Astyanax mexicanus: one gene and its partner. The main gene of each other region encodes a partner of the protein of the gene in region 2 in a complex. Links are inferred from orthologs where the notes say so. Each region holds a gene or a part of one and is shown on either strand. Other genes may lie near its edges.

Region 1 (10,439 bases), on a different chromosome or scaffold from region 2:
GTATTAACAGATGCATCATTTTTAAAGTAGCAAGCACGATTTTACTCACTGGTTATCCTGTGTGTTTAAGTTTTTCAGAGTCTGATGAGGTCTTGGAGAGGTCCTATGATGTGTTACTAAAGCTCAACATGTACTACTACTTCTGCTGCTCTACCCAAAGTTTAGTTAATTAGGACACTTTTAGGAGGACGGACTTGAATCGGGATTGTCCCTCAACACTCTTTTGTGGAACCCTGTATCTCCTCGAAGATCCGCAGGTCCGTTCAGTTTGTGCAAGGCCGGTTTGAGCTATGGCGGACGGGAGGATCTATGTGGGGAACCTTCCCATGGACGTGCAGGAGAGGGACATTGAGGATCTCTTCTTCAAATATGGAAAAATTCGGGATATCGAGCTGAAGAACAACCGAGGCACCATCCCCTTTGCCTTTGTTCGTTTTGAGGACCCACGGTGAGTTCCAGGGCTGATGTTTCATTTTCACCCTCACTGACTGACTGACGTCAGGAAACACATGGAGGAGACATTTCTCAAGTGTCCCTCAGTAGAAAGAAAGTTAGGAGCACTTTACTCTCTTCCCATAGGGATGCGGAGGATGCTGTCTATGGAAGGAATGGATATGGATTTGGAGACTGTAAGCTGCGTGTGGAATATCCTCGTTCCTCAGGATCCAAATTTGGTGGATCTGTCGGTGGAGGAGGAGGACCAAGGGGAAGATTTGGACCTCCATCTCGCCGATCTGAGTTCCGGGTTATAGTGACTGGTAGGTCAAAAGGTTTTCCTCCTTTCTGGAATTTCTTTTAGCTAAGAATTTAGTAATATTTATGTGTGGTCGGTCTCTAAAAGTGTATTCGTATTGATGAGAGATATGAATTCTATATTTTTCATTTCAGGTCTTCCTCCTACTGGCAGCTGGCAGGACCTGAAAGATCACATGCGGGAAGCAGGAGATGTGTGCTTTGCTGATGTTCAGAGGGACGGCGAGGGAGTGGTTGAATTCCTTCGACGGGAAGACATGGAATATGCTCTGCGTCGGCTGGACGGGACAGAGTTCAGATCCCACCAGGTAATTAAAAAAAAACTTGGTAGACTATGTCCAACAAAAAATAAAAATTACGTAATTATATAATATTATAGCATAATAATGCATTTTCACCCCTTAAATAAAATTAAGATTCTAAAAATCCACACAAAAAATGAGATTCTGTTAAGAAAAAATGGTTGAATAAAAGGATACGTATTTATCATATTTTTTTGTAAACGCACATCAAAAACTATTGTGGTCATTTCCATATCTCTATTGTATGCTAAGTCAATAGTGTAGTTTTTAGTATTTCAAATGATTCTTTTTTTTTTTTTTAAATGGTGTAGTAGTAATTTAGGCTGGGCAATATGGTAAAAAAAATATTGCATCGTTTTGGCATGCAGAAAACATGCATGTGTAGTGGCAGATTCTTAGAAACCACTTATCAAAATGTTACATATAATTAATAATGTTGTTATAAGTAGAGTTTATCGTAGTATTTAACACAATATGATAAAAAGTCATATTGCCCTAATACAATCAGAATCAGGCTATGTGGGCTTTTTCTATAGGGCCTAGTTTAGCTATTAGGGCATCTAGTATAGAGAATTTTAAAAGAACATAAGCATTGGGTTAGCGGTCCACACAACCATAGGACAATGTTTCTGTTGCTGCTATCAGCAACTGTATTTAAGATGAAATGCTAAATTATTCATTAAATGTACAAATTAACTGAACTGCTTTTTAATAATAAAAAAAAAAACTAAGGGAAGCGCTTCTGAGTGATTTGTTTAACAGTTTCTCCGTTTGCTGCACAGGGAGAGACTGCCTACATCAGAGTTCTGGAGGAGAGGGGAACAAGCTGGGGTCGTTCGCGTTCCAGGTCCAGGTCTCGTGGGCGTTATTCACCCCCCTATCAGAGCAGAGGGTCCCCGCCTCGTTACCGCTCCCCTCCACGCCATATGTCTCGTCATAGCCCCCCTCCTCGACGAGCACCACCCCAGCACCACAGCCCGCCCCCACGCCACTATCGGTAAAGAGCCAAGAAACGCCAGAGCTGGTCAAGTCACCCCACCCCCACGAATCATTTCCTACCTTTTTAATTTTCTTTTTGCTTTGTTTCTTACCTTCTGTAATTTACATTCCGTCACTAAAACACCCCAAAGGCCTTCAAAGTGCAGAAACGGTCTCAACAAAATTATTCCTCTAGCTGGATAACTGGCAGCTGCCAGACAGAGAGTGAACGAATGTGATGGAGCAGGTGTCCTAAAACGTCACTCCGGATTCTCCTGTGAAAGTGTGAACACTTCTTCAACTTTGTGGCATTTAGAATAGTCATCATGCTTTTGACTTTTGTCCATCTTCAGTGGTTTTAGTGAAACACACCTGTTGTTGGGACAGGATTTGCAGTCATTTGATCAATCTTCAAAATCTGTAGATTATGTTTTTTTTGTTTGTTTTAAATGAAAGGATGAACTTTTTTAATTGTTTTTTTTTTTTTTTTGCATTGTTTTTGCTGTGTTTCCCCCACTCCTTTTGTATCACGTAATGGAAGTATGCAAAGTGCTTTTTTTTTTTTCTTTTTTCAAATAAAGCATTGAGTCATGAAATTGTTCTCCCAAATGTTGGTCATTGGTCATTATTGAACACAAGTACATCAATAAGAATTCCTGGATTTCATTCATTTTATTTCTTCATATTTTTCACTTTGATTTCCACTCCTCAAATCTATTAATATACAAAAACACATTATTTAGTCACATTTTCAGGCATGTTAATATGTAATAGCTGCGTGTTATTCCAGTTACCCAATAATTTAAACAGCCATTCAATGCAAGAATGCATAACATCCTCCACCAGCTACCTGAGACGTGCATGCTCAAGTTACTGACGAGTTGAGTAAACCCACCAGATATATCACTTTTTTAGTGATTCACTGACCGAGTTTAAAATATTGAAGTAGTACCAGGATCCTACAATACATTTATTACTCAGTCATTCAGTTTTACATTCTACCCCCAGTCCCAAAATCAAGTCCTCATGTCTTGTGTTTCCTGATGATGCAAACGTCACCAGTGCAGCTCAGGAAGATCAGGTGGGCCATCCAGCCGTGGATAGAGTCTGGGTGAAGGACAGCAGCCCTGTATTCAGATCACATCAACTGCCAGGCTTCTCCTTGTTTGGCCCCATGAACTCCACACCATCGATAGGAATGTCCTTCTCTTTGATGGCTTTCTGTAAAATGATTATTGATCAGAACACTGTGGTTAAAACAGGAAAATAATTTAAATAATAAGTTAGTCTAATTTAAGATACTAGATTTACATATACACTGACATGCCAAAAAATCTTGGGATTAGTGCTGTGTCCTATAGAAGCTAAAGGACTGATTTCTGCTAGTCACTCATCTTTTTCTAGGCCCTAAAATAATATCACGATATTTAATGGTATTTCAAGAGTACACTACTGCAACAAAATAGAAATTGTATTATTGCATACAATATAGTAAGACATGCACCTAACTGAGATATATATATATTTAAAAAATATATATTAGATTTGTAACAGAAGTCAATGATCCAGAATGTTAAGATACTAATAATACACTCCAAAAAACTCTATATATACATAATCTATGACAATCTATAATAAGTATCACATCAAGGTACAACTTTTTGGCTTTTTTTTAGCAAAAGGAAAAATTCACACTGTTCTGACATATTAAATCTGTCCAGGATCATTTATTTTACTTTAATCCTGGATATATGGAGATATTCGGAATGCATTATTATTAGTATCATGACTGATCATTCTGGATCATTGACTTCTGTTACAAATCTGATCAAATTCTTGATTTTTTAAATATCTCAGTTAGGGGTGTGCAATATCATTTTGTATGCAATTATAATATGTAATGCACTATTATATTCTTGAAATAAATATATATTCTTCTATTTAATGTTCTGTCATTTCGCCAACTGTGAATGATATGTAATGTTTTAATATGTATGTTTTTAAGGGTTTAAATGTAAATATATCTCGGTAGGTTTTGATCTTCATAATAATGTAACAAAGTGATGGTGATAAATCAGGTTCTGCTTTATCTAGATAATCTCTAAACTCTGGAGTCCGGGGCGGTGTTCCGCCGGGCTGTAGAGCCGCAGGGCCGGGCTGTGCGGGCTGTGCGGGTTGGGTACCTGTACGCAGGTCTGGTACTGCTTGAAGAGCTCAGTGCAGGGGTCTCCACTCCGCTCTCCCTTCAGGAACTTCTCAGCGAACCAGCGGTTAAAACACTGATCATACTCCCTCTTCAGCTCCGTGCAGCCCTCCCCCACACTGTTCATCTTCCGCGGGGCTCCAACACGGTTCTTACAGGGCTTTAACAGGTTCAAAAAGGTTCAGCTGGTTCTGCTGCGGGTCGGTTCTGTGTTTATGATCAGCAGGAGACTCGCTTGACTTTGCAGAATCACGTGGTCAGAGAGCAGCCGGGTCGCGTTCTAATGACGCAGCAGCTGCTGTTAAACCAACAGAACACCGCTTTACTATATTCATCTTTATTAATCTTTATTAAATGTTATAAAACGCTGTAAATATTTATTAAATGTAATAAATTCCTATTCATTTTATGACATTTTAATACGCTTTGTTTAATGGTATAACGTGATTATATAACGTTATAACGTATAACGTTTTTCATCTTTATTAAATGTTATTAATCTTTAGTAAATATTATAAAAGGTATTGCATATTATTAAATGCTAATCATCTTTAATAAATGTTATTATTAAATGCCATCCTAGTAATATTTATCAAATATTATTACTCATTATTTTAAAATGTTATTACTTTAATTAAATGTTATAATTCGCTAAAGTTTTAATCGCTATTAAATGATATGAAATGTTGTATCTTAATTAAATGTTATTAATCGTTATTAAATGTTGTGTAAATGTTAACTGTAATGTTAAATGTAAACCATATTGAAAAGAAAAGGAAATGAGAAATCATAGATTTACTATATTTAAGCTTTTACAGTACAATTTACAGCTTTTTAGGCTAGCTAAACTATGTGTTTATTCTACAAGATGTTTTATGTGAGAATTACGACATGTTGGTTTTCTACTAATAATATATGGCGATGTATATGGTTATTGTGACACAATATCTCATGTTAATGACATATTAAAAGGGTTATAATTATTATTATGACTGCATATTTTGTAGAGTGTACATTAGTGAACATCCGTATCTATTTATACACTAAGTATTTTTTTCCCCTAAAAATTGTTGTACATTTTAGCAAATCCCCTTCAGTGTAAACAGTCACGATCAGATTAACAGATGATATTAAAATAAAAAGAAACAAATCACAAAGCGTTCACCACAGTTCACATTTATTCCATATTACAATACAGATTATCTTTAGTGGCACGACGTTCTGACAATATACTATGTAGTTACACAGATTACAATAAAAATATATAAGCATAGAATATAATCTTTTCACATAGTCTCGGTTATCTTTCTGTCGGTTTCTGTTTCTCATAAATAAATCGTCACTTTCAAATACAACACTTTTTACAATTCACAAATAATTTAATTTTTTTCATTTCGCTGAATATTTTTATAGTGTGATCTATTGGTTTCTGAAGTCTAATGTATACAGAGCGATTAAGAAATGGTAACACACAGATATGGACGGGTGAAGGTTAGTGTTGAGAACACTGGCACTTAAAACACTTGGTTTGAGTTACAAGATTTTAGCAGATTCCTACAATCACACTGAACCCAGTGCTAAAAGTATGAGACAACCATACAAAAATTTCGGTTGCTGGTAGTTCAGAGCATAACACACACACACACACACACACACACACACTCTTCATGTAAATGTTATACAATCGTATGTAAAAGTTTGGGCACCCCGGTGCAGATTACATGTTTTCTGTTTCATTTATGAAGTTAAATGAAGAAAGCACAACTTATGAAGTAAATTACCTTTTTTACTGCAAATCTTAACACAGAGTTTTCATTTTTAATTTGGCTAACCCCTTCAGAACTGAATGATCTCCAGTGATAGAGATTAAAAAAATTAAGTAAGCAGTTTTCTGTCTGTAATGCACAGAAAAGAAGACTAATAATCTACTATAAAATCTATATAGCAAATAAATCTTTGTAAATTGTAAATTGTAAATAAATTGCATTGGAAGCGTGTGTACAACATTTTATATTTAATACTGACCTTTTGTATTTCACAATTCATTCCTAAACATGATTAAAAGGTTTCCAAATCACAATAAATTAGTAAAAATGACTGTTACTTTGCCCCAGTTGCTCTAGTATTGTTGTTTTTTCCAAGGTTTTTGCAGTAGGTGGGGCCATGTTACTGTTTTATTGATGTATAAACTTGTTCATTGGCTGGTTTATAGTCTATTCTGATGGACAACAGCTCTCAAATAGTGAAAATTAAAAATAAAGATAAATAAAATTAAAAATAAAGATAAATAAAAAAAATACATGATGTCCATTGTAATGGATGCAGGTTCTGAAAGGGTTCTACTAAAAACTAAAGCAAAATACTAAAGCAAAATCATTATTTTTGACAATTGTAGTTCTGGATTTTCACACCCTTTATTAACTATCCTAATTAGACCAAGACATGTTATTAGAAAATAACACTCAACAATCACAGATTCCTCTAATCTGAAGGGCTGAAATTAATTTAATTACGCCTACAGGGTAAAAATGCACCCTGTTGCTAAAAATATCAGGTCTTACCAAAATCCTGTTCACACCTAGCATCAAATTTGTTCTATTAATAGCTGAAATGTGTTCATTTGAATTAATGAAACATACCAGTCCTGCTTAATTTTTTCTAAACATTTCCTAACTTTAAAAACACGCTTTTATTGTGATTTTATTGATGTGTCAGTGTAGTTTGGTACACAGACACATCACAATATGCAGATCAACCAATCAATAATACTCGCCCCCTGCTGACATCCAACCATCTGCGTCTCAACTATTTTTCATTCAACACATAAAACAAGTCGTGAATGTGCATTGTGATTTGCATTAAATTACATTTTCTGTTATGCAGTTTTTCCTTCTTTTCACTTCAAAAATGAATAAAGGGGATGCCAAAACCTTTATACACAACTGTGACTGTTCTACTGTATATGCCAAACACATCAACGCATGAACGAGTCTCACATATAATGGCTTCTTCATTCGGCCCACATTCTGATTCAGAGACCTTGTAGTTTTAAATCACTCACTGAGCAGAAACTAACACATGGCACTTGTCCCTAAACCAAGGAACTTAAGGCAAAAAAGACTGATAAAAATAAACACATCTCCGAGATTATACTTCTATTATAGATAGATTGTTTTTTTCTTTTCTTCTCGACTAAGGTCGTTTCGCTGAGTGAGGTACATACTTGTGTAGCAGCTAAACTGAGTGTCACAGAGTGACGAGCATCACCGGGGGGCAGAAAGCTTAGGTCATAATTACAAAAAAGAAAATCACTCTGTTTGTATAATACAAGCTCAATTCATAATACCTGAAAACAGGAGGATGTGCTGACACTGACTGGGGTTTTTTATCTTCTTCGTGCAAATATTGTGATGCCATAATGTACATAATGTAATGTAATACTTTAAGAATCTGGGTTCTACGTCTTTTAGCAGTGATCACCACTCTGAATATAGTGGTTTCTTTATACTACATTTTGCAAAAACGGATATTTTGTGCTTTTCAAAGAATCTGTGTTGGTAGAGACACATCATTTGGTTCTGTTATCATCACCATTAGTACTGTAATTAACATTTCAGCCCACTTCAGTCTTTCCAATACAAAACTTTGATCAACTATGATCAACCATATATCTATATATATATATATATATATATATATTCCCAGGTGTTATCATTTTATTTGGCTGTTGTTGTTCTCCAGCACTACATTAGTTTAAAATGTGTTTTGGGCCAACTCTCACTGTTTTCCCGGCACAGAACCCTCTGAGAAGCTTCTCAGCAGGAGGTCAAGAGAAAGATGCGCTTTATCAGCTGGGTTTAAACGTATGATACGCAGAAATAGGGCACAAGCAGTAGTTTTCTTTAATTAGACGGTGGAGCGCCGATGGAGAAATGGAGACGCCACATCACTTGTTCTCTATGAGGATCTGGACCTTGTGGACCAAGTCTCGGGCCATCACCAGAAGTTTCGGGACGTCGTGTCGCTCAGCCATTTCTGTAGAAACAAGTCAAGTCAACTCATCTTTATTAATACAGCAGATTTAAAAGACAAAAAGTGCTCTACAATAAAATCATATAACACCAACCTAATTCAAATTAACACAAAAAATAGACATAAAAGAGACTTAAAATTATCCGCTGTGGCTCATTCCTTTATAAAAATTGAAAGATTATTCCAAAGTTATGGATCTGGATCTACTGTCCACAGTGTCACATATGTCCCAGTCAGGGAGGCTAATATTAGTGCCAACGGTGGATCGTGACTGGCGGCATCTGGTTAGAATTGTCCATGTGAACCAGTGACAAGCAGTCTTCGGCAAAAGTCAATCACAACCACATTCAATGCAGGAGATCCCACACACATATCTCACAGATAAGTGCAGCATTCTTTAGCTCACACAGCACATGCCAAAAGTCATGGGACACAGTGGGACCCATGTCATATCTGGCGTTGTTTTTTTTTGTTTTTGTTTCTACACCTGCACTATTCGGTCAGGTAAAAACGGACTCTGGTTCGTTTTTTGTACCCTTAGTGAGGTTTGATCAAACAAACAAACTCTGGAGTAGTTTCGCTTGTGGTAAGAACATGATCCGATCTTGATCCGACCCAGCTATATCAAATATACTCCTTTTATTTAAGCTAAACTGCTGATAAGGTTCAGTTTAATCTGAAACATTAGCCAGATAATGGCAAATAATTACCACAGCTATGAACAAACATGGTCTCTGCTGCTCCATGCTGTTTACACATGCTTCATGTGCAGCGTTCACTGCTCACAGCTTTAAAATGCACAGATATATATATATATATATATATATATATACGCCAGAACACAGAATCTTCTCACTATATTTACTTTCTTGCTTTCATGGCAGACAGCTCTGACCAATCAGAGGAGAGAATGTGCTTGTGTGGTTTATTGATCCGTATTTTCGTGCATTTAAATTTGTGCCTGTGTGAAACCAAACCAAACAGAGGGAGAAACGCTCCAAAACGACCTGAGAGCCGTCTTACCGTTAAAGAACTTGATGATGTCAGTGAAGTCCATGTTGTTCTCCAGAATGATGTCTCTGTACAGCTCAACCAGGGCCAGGGCAATGAAGAGCACAAAGTGGCCAGAGGAGATGGTGCGGGCAGCCCAGATGGTTTCCCACACAGAGAACACATCGTCATACACCATTTCTTAGGAGGGACACAGAAACAACAGAAAAATGAGATACATCAAATTTAACCCTTTTGGAAGCGAAAATAAAAAAAATATAGACATATACACATATATGCACAGATATCCCGGTTCTACATAAAAATACGTACCTCTCTTAAAGTCTAAAAGAAACCATCGGTAACAGAAGTAAAAGTGGGTGTAGTCTCCATTCTGCTGCATCAGCTCAAAGAGTTCAGAATCAAGAATCTGAAAAATAAAAAACAGAAAAATCCTCACTAGAAACAGAAACTAGAGACACAATAACCCCACGCTTGCTTTAGAAACGTGTTTTAATGAGGTCGTACCTGAATAAGCGAGCGCATGTTGGCGAAGTGAGTGTCCATAGCTCCTCCATGCGGAAAGTTCTGGTTCATCCTCTTCATGAGTTCCGTAAAGCAGCTAAAAGCCATGGCCTCTAACAAAAACAAAGGGGTTTGATTAGCAAGCTGTCCATATCAGTCTTAAACAATACAATCTAAAGGTTAAGAGAATAATGCAAACTGAGTGTGAACGTACCATCGTCAAGAATAACAAGCAGAGGCGCGAGTAAATCACACATTCCCTGCACATAGCCGATATCCAGATGCTGCCAAACATAGCTACAAGGAAAATCAAGCAAAAAGCCAAATTAAAAAAGATATTTAGGTATCTGTGTTTTCAGTCAATGTGCAGAAACACACAGCAGCAGCTAAATAACCAGCGTATTTCAGATTCACCTGCACATGATGTTACGCAGTTTCTCCAGATTTGTTGTGGTAAAATACCAGTAATTTCTATCACAGCGCTGGACGTCTTTATCGATACGGTGCAGATTGAGGGTGTACAAGTCCAGCAGCTCTTGCTGTAAAAGAAAAAGTAACAACTGTCATTTAAAAAAAATGTAAAGCAGGGGTTCACACATTTTTGCAACTTGCTTCCACTTAACCCACCACAAAACATTATTTAGACCATTTAAAAT
Region 2 (12,012 bases):
TCAAAACAGTTATTTACAGAGCCATTAAAGAGTGGAACTGCTTACCTGATTTCCTACTGAACGCTAATAGCAAAACAAGGTTCAAAAAACTAATTAAAAAACATTACCTAAAAGACATGGACGATATATGAATATCTGTCCACATGCAGAATGTGAACTATAAGGGATAGATTTAAAATAGTAATGATCAGTCATACCAGTTATTTTCTTAAAAAGTTTCTTAATCTTACTATCATTATTTTGTGTATGTATTGTCTATGAATTTGTGTACATCTAGTATACAAATATATGTTGTTCTCGTCTTTCTTTTTGTTTTGATTGCTTATTGTGTTGTAAAATGTATTTATTTGTATAGAACTTTTTTTTGTTATGTGCATTTTACTATGACGTGTGATTCATATTTATGTGTGAGATGTTAGTTGGACCTCAGGAAGAATAGCTGCTATTGCAATAGCAGCTAATGAGGATCCAAATAAAACAACAATAAAACAATAAAGGGAGTTTTTTCTTGCCACTGTTGTCGCCACAATTACTGCCATCTCTGTGGTGCTGCTCATAAGAGGCGTTGACCTGTTTTCACTGTAAAACTGCTTTGTGACATCAAATAAGTTTAATAACATTACTATAACAGTCCATAAACCAGTGAATTAAATTACAATTATGCAGGTAATGTTTTTTTAATGATAAAATGTTCCATATTACTAAATAATTAATTACCAGAAACTTCTATGTTAGAAAAACATTGAGTTCGACCATCTGACCAATTATTAAGTATTTAACAGTTACATTTGTACATATCACATTTAATATTTGATGCATAATTTATTTTTTTAATTATATATAAAACAAAAGTTTAATCCCTTATTCTTGGAGTTGCCTTTACATTTTTTTACATTTTCCCACTGGATGGAATAGCCACTAGGGCGCAGAAAACATATCTCTGAAAATGTTTCATTGTTTTTTTATTAATTCAATTAGATCTTAATGCATTATTATTAGTTATATTATATATATATATATATATATATATATATATATATATATATATATATATATATATATATATATCATTTTCATTCCTTTTAATATACTGAGTAATTGTAAGCTCATTTACATTTGCATTTGTAATACATTAATTCATTTATAATTAAATCATACAAATAAAATGAAATAACTTAAGCCTGATTCATGGAAATTAATTTGAACAAAATAACCCAGTCTCAAAAAGACCAGTTCACTGAGGTACCCCCTTTGTGGAATTATCCCTTTATTTATATAAATGTAATATTATGTATCAATTTGGCACCTAAATTCACACCAAAAAAAATTCAACACATTCATTTAAATTAATGACATCAGTTTAATGAAAGAACATGACCTGTGCTGGATAGAAAAACGTTTATTGACAGTAAGCAAATTGTACTTATTTAAGAGCTTTACCATTTGTTTATACACTTTATAATTATTGTTTTGCTTACAAGTTAATTGTGAATCAAGCATATCCACAGACACTGCCGTCCACTGCAATCCTTTCTTCCATACTTTTGAACACTGGTGCAGTATTTAAACATCACTTTATGTGGACCCATCAACGCACATATCACTTCAATTTGAAGCAATGAAGTAACTGTACACAGCAGAATAAAAAAAGACATTGATCATAAGGGCACATTTCAATCAGTTTTGGATCATATCCTTTATAATTAACAAATCACAACAAAAGCAAATCAACAGAAAGACATAAAAGAAATGTGTAAAACAACCATGTAAAAGAAAGCAGGAAAAGTAAGGATTTGGAACAGATACACGTCTCACACTTTCTATGCAAGGCATAAGAAGATGTTGTACCTGTGACAGTTAAACTTATTTTACAGGTGGAAGGGCACATTGATCAGGGGTAGGAATGGGGTTCACGGAGTTTGCTGGACTAACGGAAGAGGGAAGGCAATCCAGCTGCTGGAGAAGTGCTACAGTGAACCCGGATACCTTTACAAACTGGAACGGACAGACCCTTTTCAGAAAGCCTCAGCAAATTCAAGCACAGGCTTGAGAAAACAATGTCAAGTGTCAGTCTTCAAGTCATACATATTGTTTCTTCTGTGCTTGAGAGGCGAAGCCTTTCGCCTTCTCTTTAGCAGCAAGCGCCGTTTCTCTGGCCCTCTCAGTCGCCGTCTCTGCCAGCGTCCGTGTAGGAGTTTCACCTGCATAACAGTTAAATGTAGCTTAGCAAAAGATAGCATTAAAACCAATCTAATAACTTAGAATGTCCCCTTATTCATACAATACCACACATGAAGAACTGGAATTCTTACCCTGCATTTTGGCCAAGACATATTCAAATCCTTTCATAGTCTTTGTGACACTGCTCTTAAATCTCGCCAGGCCAAATTCCTGTAGAGAAAACAGAGGCCATTTAGAGAAATGAAAATTCATGCTGTTGCCAAGAAATGCTGAAGGTTAACTGAAGTAATTTAAGCACAGACTAAACAGCTGCTCAGCTGTCAGCAGACCACATATACACTCTCATGACCAGTCTGTACTGGTTGTGCTATTTATAGTACCCGCTGGTAATTTTATAGGTTATAACAGTAATACAGCACAAAATGACAGACAGTGCCGGCACCATGTTACTCAAAACCCCCAGGATTTTCCTGTGTTTCCACACTAACGACCGCCCTTTAGCCCACTGACCTGAACTGCTCTGGAAAGGCCGTAGAGGCTGGAGGAGATCCAAGCCTCTCTCTTGATCTCTGTCCAGTTGCTATTGTCAGGGTTCACTCTGTACACACAGCGCTCCTCCACAGACTGCAGGCAGAAAAGCATAAACAAGTTACAACTGCAAACAAAACTAGCTGGTGCAAAACTAAACAGGGGATTTTACCACAAAAATTCAGAAAAGTATAATTAACATGTTTTATTAAGTGGGTTTTTATTGTTCTTTGGCTATGAATCTGAATCTTTGGCCTGGGTGATGGAAGGCGTCCAAAAAGGCTCTCATTATTAAGCCATTTCAATTACAAAAATCCATTACAGATGTAAACAACCAAGACACTTGTCATTGTAATGCATGGCTTATGTTAGAACTGAAGCATCATCAGCAAAATCACTTAATTTTAAATAATTAATTTCTTGTTTAGCAAAATCTAAAATTAATATAATTAAAATATAGAATTTTCATTGAAATGATAAATGTGATAATATACAGTTCTAAGCTCTGCTACACTGAACACATGATCAACACCTGTTTCTGCATTTTGGTTTTAATTTAGACCTACATTTTAACACTAGATTTTAATACTGCTTTCATATTGCTTAGCCAACACAGTTATGTCAAGTCAGTGTTATTTTCACAGTAGCACAATAAAAATGTACACCATTCATCTGAAATCAACAATCCCTTCAGTCCTGTTTACCTCAGTTAGAGATCCTTTGTTAGTGTGGTTTATCACATTTAATAGTTTAACCATTTCAGATCTTTTTAGAAACTATTTAAATCAAATTAAAGAAATTAAACTTAGCACAGTTTATTTTTTTCACACAAACTAAAACTTTTACACATTTACTTTCACTAACAGCAGCAAGTAAAATGATTTGCCTGATTAGAAACTACACAAAAAATGTAATAAAAAAATAATATCATCATGTTAAGTATGAAAGATTATTAGCATATATTTTTAGAATATGCCAATCCTAATGCATTTTGTACGAATACCAAAACATTGTGATAAATACTGTGACTATCTTTATATATCGTACTATAATTTTTTAACCATATCGCTCAGCCCTATAAGTAAATGACATACATCACAAGTGCTGATTTGTTAAATCAATATCAGAATATATCTTTTACCAACCAAAATTAAGAAATATGTTGTGATATTATGATTTTTCTATCACATGGTTTAGTCATATACAAGCCAATAACTTCATTCACTGTATTACCATAAGGGCTCGGCAACCAAACTAAGAATTTAGCCCGAATACAACAGAAAACAATACAAGACTAACAGAAAGGTTTTTAACAGATTCAGTGCAGCTCACCATAACACGTGCATGGCTGATATTCCATGTGAGAGTGACCATTGTTCTGTTGTTAGAATCCACTACAGAGTCCTCAATGATGTAGGCCTTGCGTGCCATGTGACTGGGCAAGAACTTCTCTGCCCAGCGTGGTGCTCGGCTGGTTTTGGTCAAGAGGCGTCTGGAAAGGAGACGGTTATCAGGAGTCACCTCCCGAAAGACAATGTCTTCAGTCAAAACATGATTACTGAGGAGAAGGAGAAAAAAAGGGATTATGTGAGAAAACTGTCTTACTTCTACATGATGATCCAAGTCACCTTTGGTATATCACTAAACAGTTCACTGAAAAAGCTTCGGTTTTACCTGTAAGGGTTTGGGTATCTTTGCCAGAATGCTGCAAATACTTGGTCCCATGTTCCTTTAAGAAATCCTACACAGCTGAAATACTTCACCATTGTTCCCAATTAAACCACATAGGCGAAGAACTGCAGGCAGAACACACATTTCACTGATGATTAGACATGTTAACTTAGCAAAATGAAATGATCAATATAACTGTATATTTTCAAGCTAGCTGAAGTGCTACAGTTGGTGTAAGTCTGTGGATAGTTCCACCATTCTCCAGACTGGGGTTTAATTTCACAGCTGAGCAGCACATGAGCCTTAACCTCACACTCACCTACTGGTGTAACATGATTCAAACACTGGATAGAAGCATTAGACAAATGCTGTAAATGTGCAACACTTTTCTGATCAAGATAATGCGTTGCTGGAAGGCGGATTTACTAGTAGAAACTCTCATTTCAGATATCAGGTCTGAAATATTTACTAGTAATAATGCCTGAATTTACAGATTTATTATCCATTGTGATTAATCATATTACCTGGATTACATAGTATTTATTTTAATTTATTAACATAGAATTTCATTCACTTATCTATCATAAAATTGTATTTGTAATTAAAAACTGCAGTAATAGATGTACAGAATTATCTTTTTACTACTAAACATTGTAGTTCACATTTCTGGTCAAAATTACAATGAAAATAGAAGAACCATTTCTACTAGAAAAAAGTAACTGTAGATCTGTAACTGGACATTTACTAGTAAAAATAAAAGAGTAAAATAACCAATCAAAATTACATTAAAGATGTTCTGACCTGGTAATATGAGTAGTCAGAACGGATTTAGTTATCTGGTATTATTACATAATACCAGATACATAAATAACCCAGATATAAAAAAAACACTCAATATAAATAACCCTAAAATAAAAAACAATATAAATACCGCAAATATAAACACCGCTTATATAAATAAAGTTAATATAAACAGCTGCTGTCCTTGAGTTTCAGACTCTGTCCCTTATCGCAGCGCGCTAGCTTTAGCATTAGCATTACCGTGTCCTCCAGGTACAGAGCAGGCTAGGCTAGCGGCTAACCACTAAATGAAAACACAGAATTACTTCTTTACAAAGTAACTGAAACTGGGGTCTGGAGAAGCAGCGGACTCGTGCGGGCGGTCAGATATTTACCGGGCTGCAGGAAAAGCGGTTTTACTGCGGATTCTTTATCATTTCTCCTCCGCCCTCCTCCTGCGCGCTCACACCACGAGAAAGACTTACTTCCGGCCAGAGAGCAGCTGATGCAGGGCTGACCCCGCCCCTCAGCAGGGTGCGTCCGTATTTCCACTCCCTATAAACTACACCTTACTCCCTATTCTCTACCCCTACCCCCTTCTCCATATTTCCTACCTCTAATCCTTATCTTCAACTCTCTAATCCCTTTCCCCTACTCCCTATCCCCTACTCTCTACCCCCCCCCCCCCACTCCCCATCCACTTCTTCCTATTCTCTATTCTCTACCCCCTACTCCATGTTTCCTACCCCTAATCCTTATCCTCTAGGACCCCTAGTCGCTAATCCCTTTCCCCTACTCTCTACCTCCTATTCCCTACCCACTTCTCCCCATCCCCTACTGCCTACACTATATTCTCTGCCCCTTTCTCCGTACTCCCTACCCCCTACTCCCTAATCCCTACCCCCTATTACCTACCACTTACCCCTAACCCCTAATCTTCTGATTGGTGGAGAGAATGTTTTGGGTGCTTTAGAATAAAACAACTGACTGGCTGAGGCAGAGCAGCTCATCTCATATAAAATAGTGGAAAGAACCTATACTTTTGTTCAATAGAGAACACGTGTTTTATTTCTAAATTAAGGTATTATTCCATATTTTAAAGGATGGTTCGCAAACCTAGGACTGAAAAGTGGCTCTAAATCTCATGAAGTGATGTTGAAAGGGTAACACCTAACATGATGTTAAACATTACCAATACTCATACTAATACTAATATGATTAAAGTGGCAAAATGTTGGCATACATTTTTAGTTGTAAAACCTGCAAGTTGCCACTGTCTTACTTTATTCAGTTAGTGCCCTAGAGTGGCTATAAATGCCCCACAAAGACTAATGTATAATAATGTATGTAAAGTATGCTTTTGAAAATAAAAAAGTGATATTTAAAAGAAATCTGGAATTTATATTAATTTAAATGTAATGCGTTTACAGATAAAACTATTTTACAAGAAGATTGCTACTAGAGTTACCTTGCAGCCTCTCGTTAATTCCAGCAGGGGGCAGAATGTTCTCACATTTTACCCTGAATCAGCTCCTCCTACAGATATACAACATATCATTGTAACAAATCTTCAACTGAAGGCAAATAAAAAATAAACATTAAATTGTACATGTTGATATTTATAATATAACAAGAGTAATCGCAACCCAGTAAATGACATGACTGGATCTGACTTTTAGTTTCAAGCACGATATAGGAGAAAACACACACACACACACACACAAATAAGAACAGAAATTAAGTGAAAATGATGCAAAAAAGGTTCTTGGGCCTGTAATCATTCTCCTTTAATCGTTTTTAGCATCATAAACATTCCTCATGTGACAAATCTGTATAATTATGACTTGTGGGTAGATTCTGAATCTTATAACATGTGGTTAGGTTTTCCTGTCGCTGACAAGCTGTCCTCAAATCTTGTAATCTTTAATACACAGGTGACTTCCAGCACCAGTTAGCATTATGAGTGGTAATTCTTTTTTAGTAACAGATACAATGACAAACATCAACATAGCCAATGTTTTCTGGATGCCGTTATGCCGCTGTTTGAAATGCAGAGAAATAACAAATTAAGCACTTTCTGGCCTCCTCTTATCATTTAAATGTTATCCATCTGCTACAGAAGGCTGGGTGCTCCAATACTGGACTTGGGTGATTAAGCTATTAAACAGGCCTCGTCTGTCATCAGAGCAATTTTAATCATGTAGCTTTCTCATGTAAATTTTAATTTACCTCCATTCAAATCAGAACAACACAATGAAACTCTCGCATCTTTTAGTTTCATCTTTGCACTTCCATTATAATAACTAGACTGACAAGCACTGATTATAAACTGTTATTAGCTAAATGTAGTACCTTATACATAATAAAACACATGCAATCTGCTGAATATATCTGAATACGAAAAGCAAATAAGGTCAGGGTTATGAGGATCACAGCAGGTTCTACACTCCTAGAGGGTCCTTCTTGGTTTATGAGCAATATGGAGGGTCAGACTGCGGTTGCGGGATGCCCATCATTGTATCCGTTGACCATCAGTCCTCGCAAAGACCGGGTTCGGAAGGAGCCCTCGGGGTGGATAGTGTCTGGTTTATGTTCACAGCGGAAGAACATGAGGAAGCCGTTCCTGTAGTTCTTGTTCATCCAGCCATAGAGCAGCGGGTTGGTGAAGGTGGAGCACATGGCCACGATGTGAAACAAGGTGTAAAGAAGCTTGTACTCTTTGAACTTGAGGACCAGGTCAAGGTCACTGGCCAGCTGGAACACGTGAAAGGGAAGCCAGCACACAGCAAAGACCACAACCACCAGGGCCAGCATCTTGGTTGTCTTTTTGCGTCGGCTGATGTTGTCGTTACGGTTGGATGGACTGACATGGTTCTTCAGCTTGACCCAGATGCACACGTAAGCATAGCTTATTATCCCTAGTGGAAAAACATACTGCAGAAGAAGCATGGAAATGCTGTAGATGATGGCGTCCCGATTGGTGCCATGGGGCCACTTTTCAGAGCACACGGCGATCCGTAAGTTAATGTATGGGATTTCCTCGTAACGGTATTCCCTGAAGATAGCCAGAGGCCCAGCCAGGATGGCTGCGAAGGCCCAAGTCAGGGTGATGATGATAAAACTAGTACACCTGGTGAGCCGCTGGCCCAAGTGGAACACGATGCACCTGTAGCGTTCAAGAGCGATGACTGTGAGGGTCAGTATGGACACATGGACGCTTAGAGCTTGGGCGTAAGGCACCATGTGACACATCACTGCCCCAAACTTCCACTCATCTAGTAAAGTGTATGCCAGTGTGAAGGGTAAGCACATAGTGTCCACCATCAAGTCGGCCAAAGCAAGGTTGGCAATGAAGTAGTTGGTAACAGTGCGCATGTTTCTGTAGAGAACGATCATGTAAATGACCAAGGCGTTTCCCATCAGGCCAAGCAAGATTATAAGTGTATAAGCTGTTATAAGGGCAATCTGAACGCTCAGGTGCTTTGTGATGTCATCCACAAACACAGGTTTATGAAGATCCATGGTGTCATTGCCCAGGTTGTGGTCTTCTCCTCCTCCACAGGCTACTTCACTCGTGCCGTTTGCTGGATCCGACGGGCCCATGATGTTCTAAAAGTCTTCTCAGATCAGTCCAAGAACTTTCAGCGTGTACCTGTTGCAGAAAATAAAGTCACTGTTATTTTATAAAAAATATATATTTTCTTGAGCTTGCAAGAGTATAGAGTTGTGTATGAAATCATTAACTGGTTTTCTATACATGGATTAAGTCTAGTTTTGGATTGAAGATTGGTCTAATAAACAAGCCCTATAATTAGGCTGCGTCCGAAATCGCGTACTTCCATACTAAACAGTATGCAAAAGCAGTATGCGAGATCGGGTAGTGTGTCCGAATGCGCAGTAGGCGAGTTTGAGTACGCGAAAAGTTCCCGGATGACGTACTGCACCGGGAGACATTTTTAAGTATACAAGCCCAGCACACTTCACCCGCTAATATTTCCCACAATCCACCGGGAGCCGCGCTGAGCTGAGTGACCCGTCAGTGAGCGGCGGAGCGGCGGGGGAGAGGAGTGGAGAGAGAGAGAAGTTTATGAGGTGAGGAGATTCAGATATATAAACTGTTTTGGTTGTTTGTGATATCAGGCTGTAAATGAAAGATTTATGAGGGTTAGTTTAAGTTAAAGTAGCGAGTTATAGGGGTGTGGGTTTGTTATTAATGCTGTTGCAGACAGAACATCTTTATTTTCGTATCTGAACTGCTTTACTGAGCAGCGTTAGCCCTGTGCTACTGAGATCAGTTAGCTTAGCTAGAGTTATCAAACTTATCACAACTCTTTATTAATCTTCTGTTCTACAACACCAGCGTTTACTAACTCACTACAGCCCTGTATACTGCTGCAGTGCTGAAGAGCTGGGGCAGTTTTAACTTAATACTGATCAGTCTGTATAAACTCATCTGAGGAAAAAGGCTGCTGATATCAGAGAGGCTTTTCAACAGACAGACAGACTGGTTGCCAAAAATCACATTAATAAATTATAACCAAAATCTGACCATTTCATTTAGTTTTATTAAATAGCTAGCTAACCAGCCAGGATGGTAAGACTTTTATGTTGTTCAGAATTTATATTATATTTGTTTAATGACCAAGCTAAACTGTTTTAATCTGTGTGTGTTTCAGATTCAACTATCCTTCCTACTCGAGAGGATGAAGATGAAGAGAGGGAGAAAAAAAAAAATGAACAATGAATAAAAAAAATAAATAAAGCTACTTTAAAGACTTGTCATTCTTGTATTTTGTGAGAAATGTATTTGTGTAAATATGCAAGTGAGGGAAAAATTATATTAAATAAAATAACTAAAATATTTTTTTATTGCCAAATATGATTCCCAGTTTTCCAGAAACTGACTGGTTCTAGCATATTTTATTTACATCAGTAATGCATATATGTTGCCTTTATGTTTAATGCAGTCAGTAAAAGATAATGTATAACAATAAGGATCATGTGTTTAAATATTTAGGCTAGAAAAGGAAATTCTGAGGTGAAATGGAAAGGCAGGAATTAATTAACATTTTGGTATTTATCTTTGAAACTTTTTGATAATTGTTTTGTTGCATAAGCTAGTATTATTAATATACTTCATGAATAATAAACAGTCTGTTCATATTTATTATTAAATATTTCATATTTGAGGAAATATTAATTTTAAGTTTTATTTACAGTCAGTGTTTATTAAATAGGACAGTTTGGGGGTTTATTTATTAATAAGAGCTGATTAATGAGGGGATTTTAATTAAATTAATTAGGGTAAAGCTCTGTAAAGTGTGCCGCTGGTTAGGAGGGGTGAGAGGTGAAAGGGCGTCAGAGGTAAGATGGTGGATGTAGTGCGTCCGAGGCTGCGTGCGTACTGCGGTCTGGCGTACTGAAAAAGCGTACTGCTTTGCTCGACAAGCAGTGCGTACTCACCCCAATCCAGTACGTACTGCTTAAGTACGCGATTTCGGACGCAGCCTTAGTTGAGATATGCTGTTGAAATTACTTAATTAATGTATCCTATATAACAGTAATGTAAAAATGTAAACTACTGCAAGTACAATGAGAGCCTTAAAAGTGCATCTGGCTCTGCTTCTGGTCTATACTGCGCAGAATCTGGTTGCTTTTCATGGCTTCATTTTTTGGACTGGAAATGACAGGCATAAATGTCTCTACATTTTTTACAACAAAAAGTCCACCTCCAGGAAGAACAATGTTAACATGACTGAATTTAAAGATGGGCGTGTCTGTGTTAAGGTTAATTCTGCAGTGACCTTCAATCTGTCAGTAGGAATCACTGAATGGAGCAGCAAAATACGTGTGTATTTTGTTCACCCCTCCCACACGTGCTGAACATTCTTCGTCTTGTGAAATGGATCATGACCCGAACAAAGGACTATATTGCCATTTAAGCCGATTACCCGACTTCAAATATAATAATGTCCTGCTGCAGGGTCCACTGCTGAGGGGGGAGCAGAATATTGGCAATAAGCAGCTTGATATTTGGTCTCTGGTCATCAGGGACTTGAAAACAAATCTAGGGGACTTGGGTGGCCTTTTAAAGTATAGATCAGACAGTCTTTCAAAAGGCTTTCTCTTTGTTGGTTTTTACAGCAATTATAGGCACGTGTGTGATTATTAGGCTGTCAGAACTATTTAATAGAGCCTTCGTAAAATACCTGGGGCCCACTGTATATATTTATGAAAAGCACTTGTGCTTCCATTTGTTGTTACGCAGCAGGTCATTTCGAAGCAATTACGATGTCTCATTTAAAACCAGCCGAAGAGCACTTTGTAAGAAAGTCTTGTAACGTCGCAAATGTTTTCAATCTTGTGTAAAACAGGTTCCCGCTTTTCTCCTCTATAGCAGACAGAGATTACTTCTTATTGCAGTGCTCTGTCAGCAGCCAGCCAGCAATAAACGATTAAGCTAAAACTTAGTGCACCCTTTGTAGCTTTGTTGTCATATGGTTGCTTCTGTGTCAACTGAGGATAGTATCAATAAAAGAAATGACTTATTTAAGTATCTCTCTGAACTTTAAATTCCCGCTTCTTCTAGGCCTTTTGAAGAGGATCCTTCTGAGATGCAGCACAGTTTGCTGAAAGGTCATCTCCTTAGTGACAGACGGTCTTTGCATCGAGAAAAGAAGTGTCCATTCATTTTACCTGGTCATTGAAAACATCTACACATATGAAGACGTGAAGTGGCAATCTGAATCACTCACGTCTTCAAGGGCTTGGTGGAACAGAAAGGTGAAATTACTATACAGTTATTACATTGGGAAAATGGTTTCATTTAGGTAGCACTTTAGCATTGCGATA

What was found.
Region 1: the proteins of prelid1a (region 2) and triap1 are in contact, whole or in part, in a crystal structure (PDB 6I3V), measured with the Homo sapiens proteins. The link is inferred for Astyanax mexicanus from reciprocal best matches to the Homo sapiens genes PRELID1 and TRIAP1. Residues at the interface, in NP_037369.1 of Homo sapiens: Trp15, Asp16, Phe19, Ala20, Trp23, Gln24, Tyr26, Pro27, Val34, Leu35, Thr36, Glu37, Asp38, Ile39, Val40, His41, Arg42, Val44, Gln48, Lys49, Leu50, Leu51, Ser52, Arg53, Leu55, Thr57, Tyr79, Leu81, Asp83, Ser84; in NP_057483.1 of Homo sapiens: Met1, Asn2, Ser3, Val4, Lys12, Tyr15, Asp16, Phe19, Asn20, Trp22, Phe23, Phe27, Leu28, Gly30, Asp31, Ser32, Phe41, Tyr44, Gln45, Val48, Gln49, Ile52, Ile57, Pro58, Ile59, Leu62, Glu63, Phe64, Met65, Gly66.

What each region holds. Positions count from the first base shown.
Region 1 is NC_064427.1:3,254,905-3,265,343, forward strand, and holds triap1 (TP53-regulated inhibitor of apoptosis 1), read right to left. Parts: upstream 4,509-10,439; 5' UTR 4,364-4,508; coding exon 4,217-4,363; intron 3,255-4,216; coding exon 3,177-3,254; 3' UTR 2,687-3,176; downstream 1-2,686. Other genes in the region: srsf9 (serine/arginine-rich splicing factor 9), read left to right, coding at 291-448, 580-758, 889-1,061, 1,838-2,056; sgsm1b (small G protein signaling modulator 1), read right to left, coding at 8,183-8,271, 9,292-9,459, 9,592-9,688, 9,787-9,896, 9,998-10,080, 10,198-10,322. UniProt on the Homo sapiens protein: Involved in the modulation of the mitochondrial apoptotic pathway by ensuring the accumulation of cardiolipin (CL) in mitochondrial membranes.
Region 2 is NC_064417.1:34,150-46,161, forward strand, and holds prelid1a (PRELI domain containing 1a), read right to left. Parts: upstream 5,671-12,012; 5' UTR 5,556-5,670; intron 4,506-5,555; 5' UTR 4,476-4,505; coding exon 4,384-4,475; intron 4,268-4,383; coding exon 4,042-4,267; intron 2,806-4,041; coding exon 2,692-2,805; intron 2,392-2,691; coding exon 2,313-2,391; intron 2,202-2,312; coding exon 2,080-2,201; 3' UTR 1,341-2,079; downstream 1-1,340. Other genes in the region: npy7r (neuropeptide Y receptor Y7), read right to left, coding at 7,648-8,763. UniProt on the Homo sapiens protein: Involved in the modulation of the mitochondrial apoptotic pathway by ensuring the accumulation of cardiolipin (CL) in mitochondrial membranes.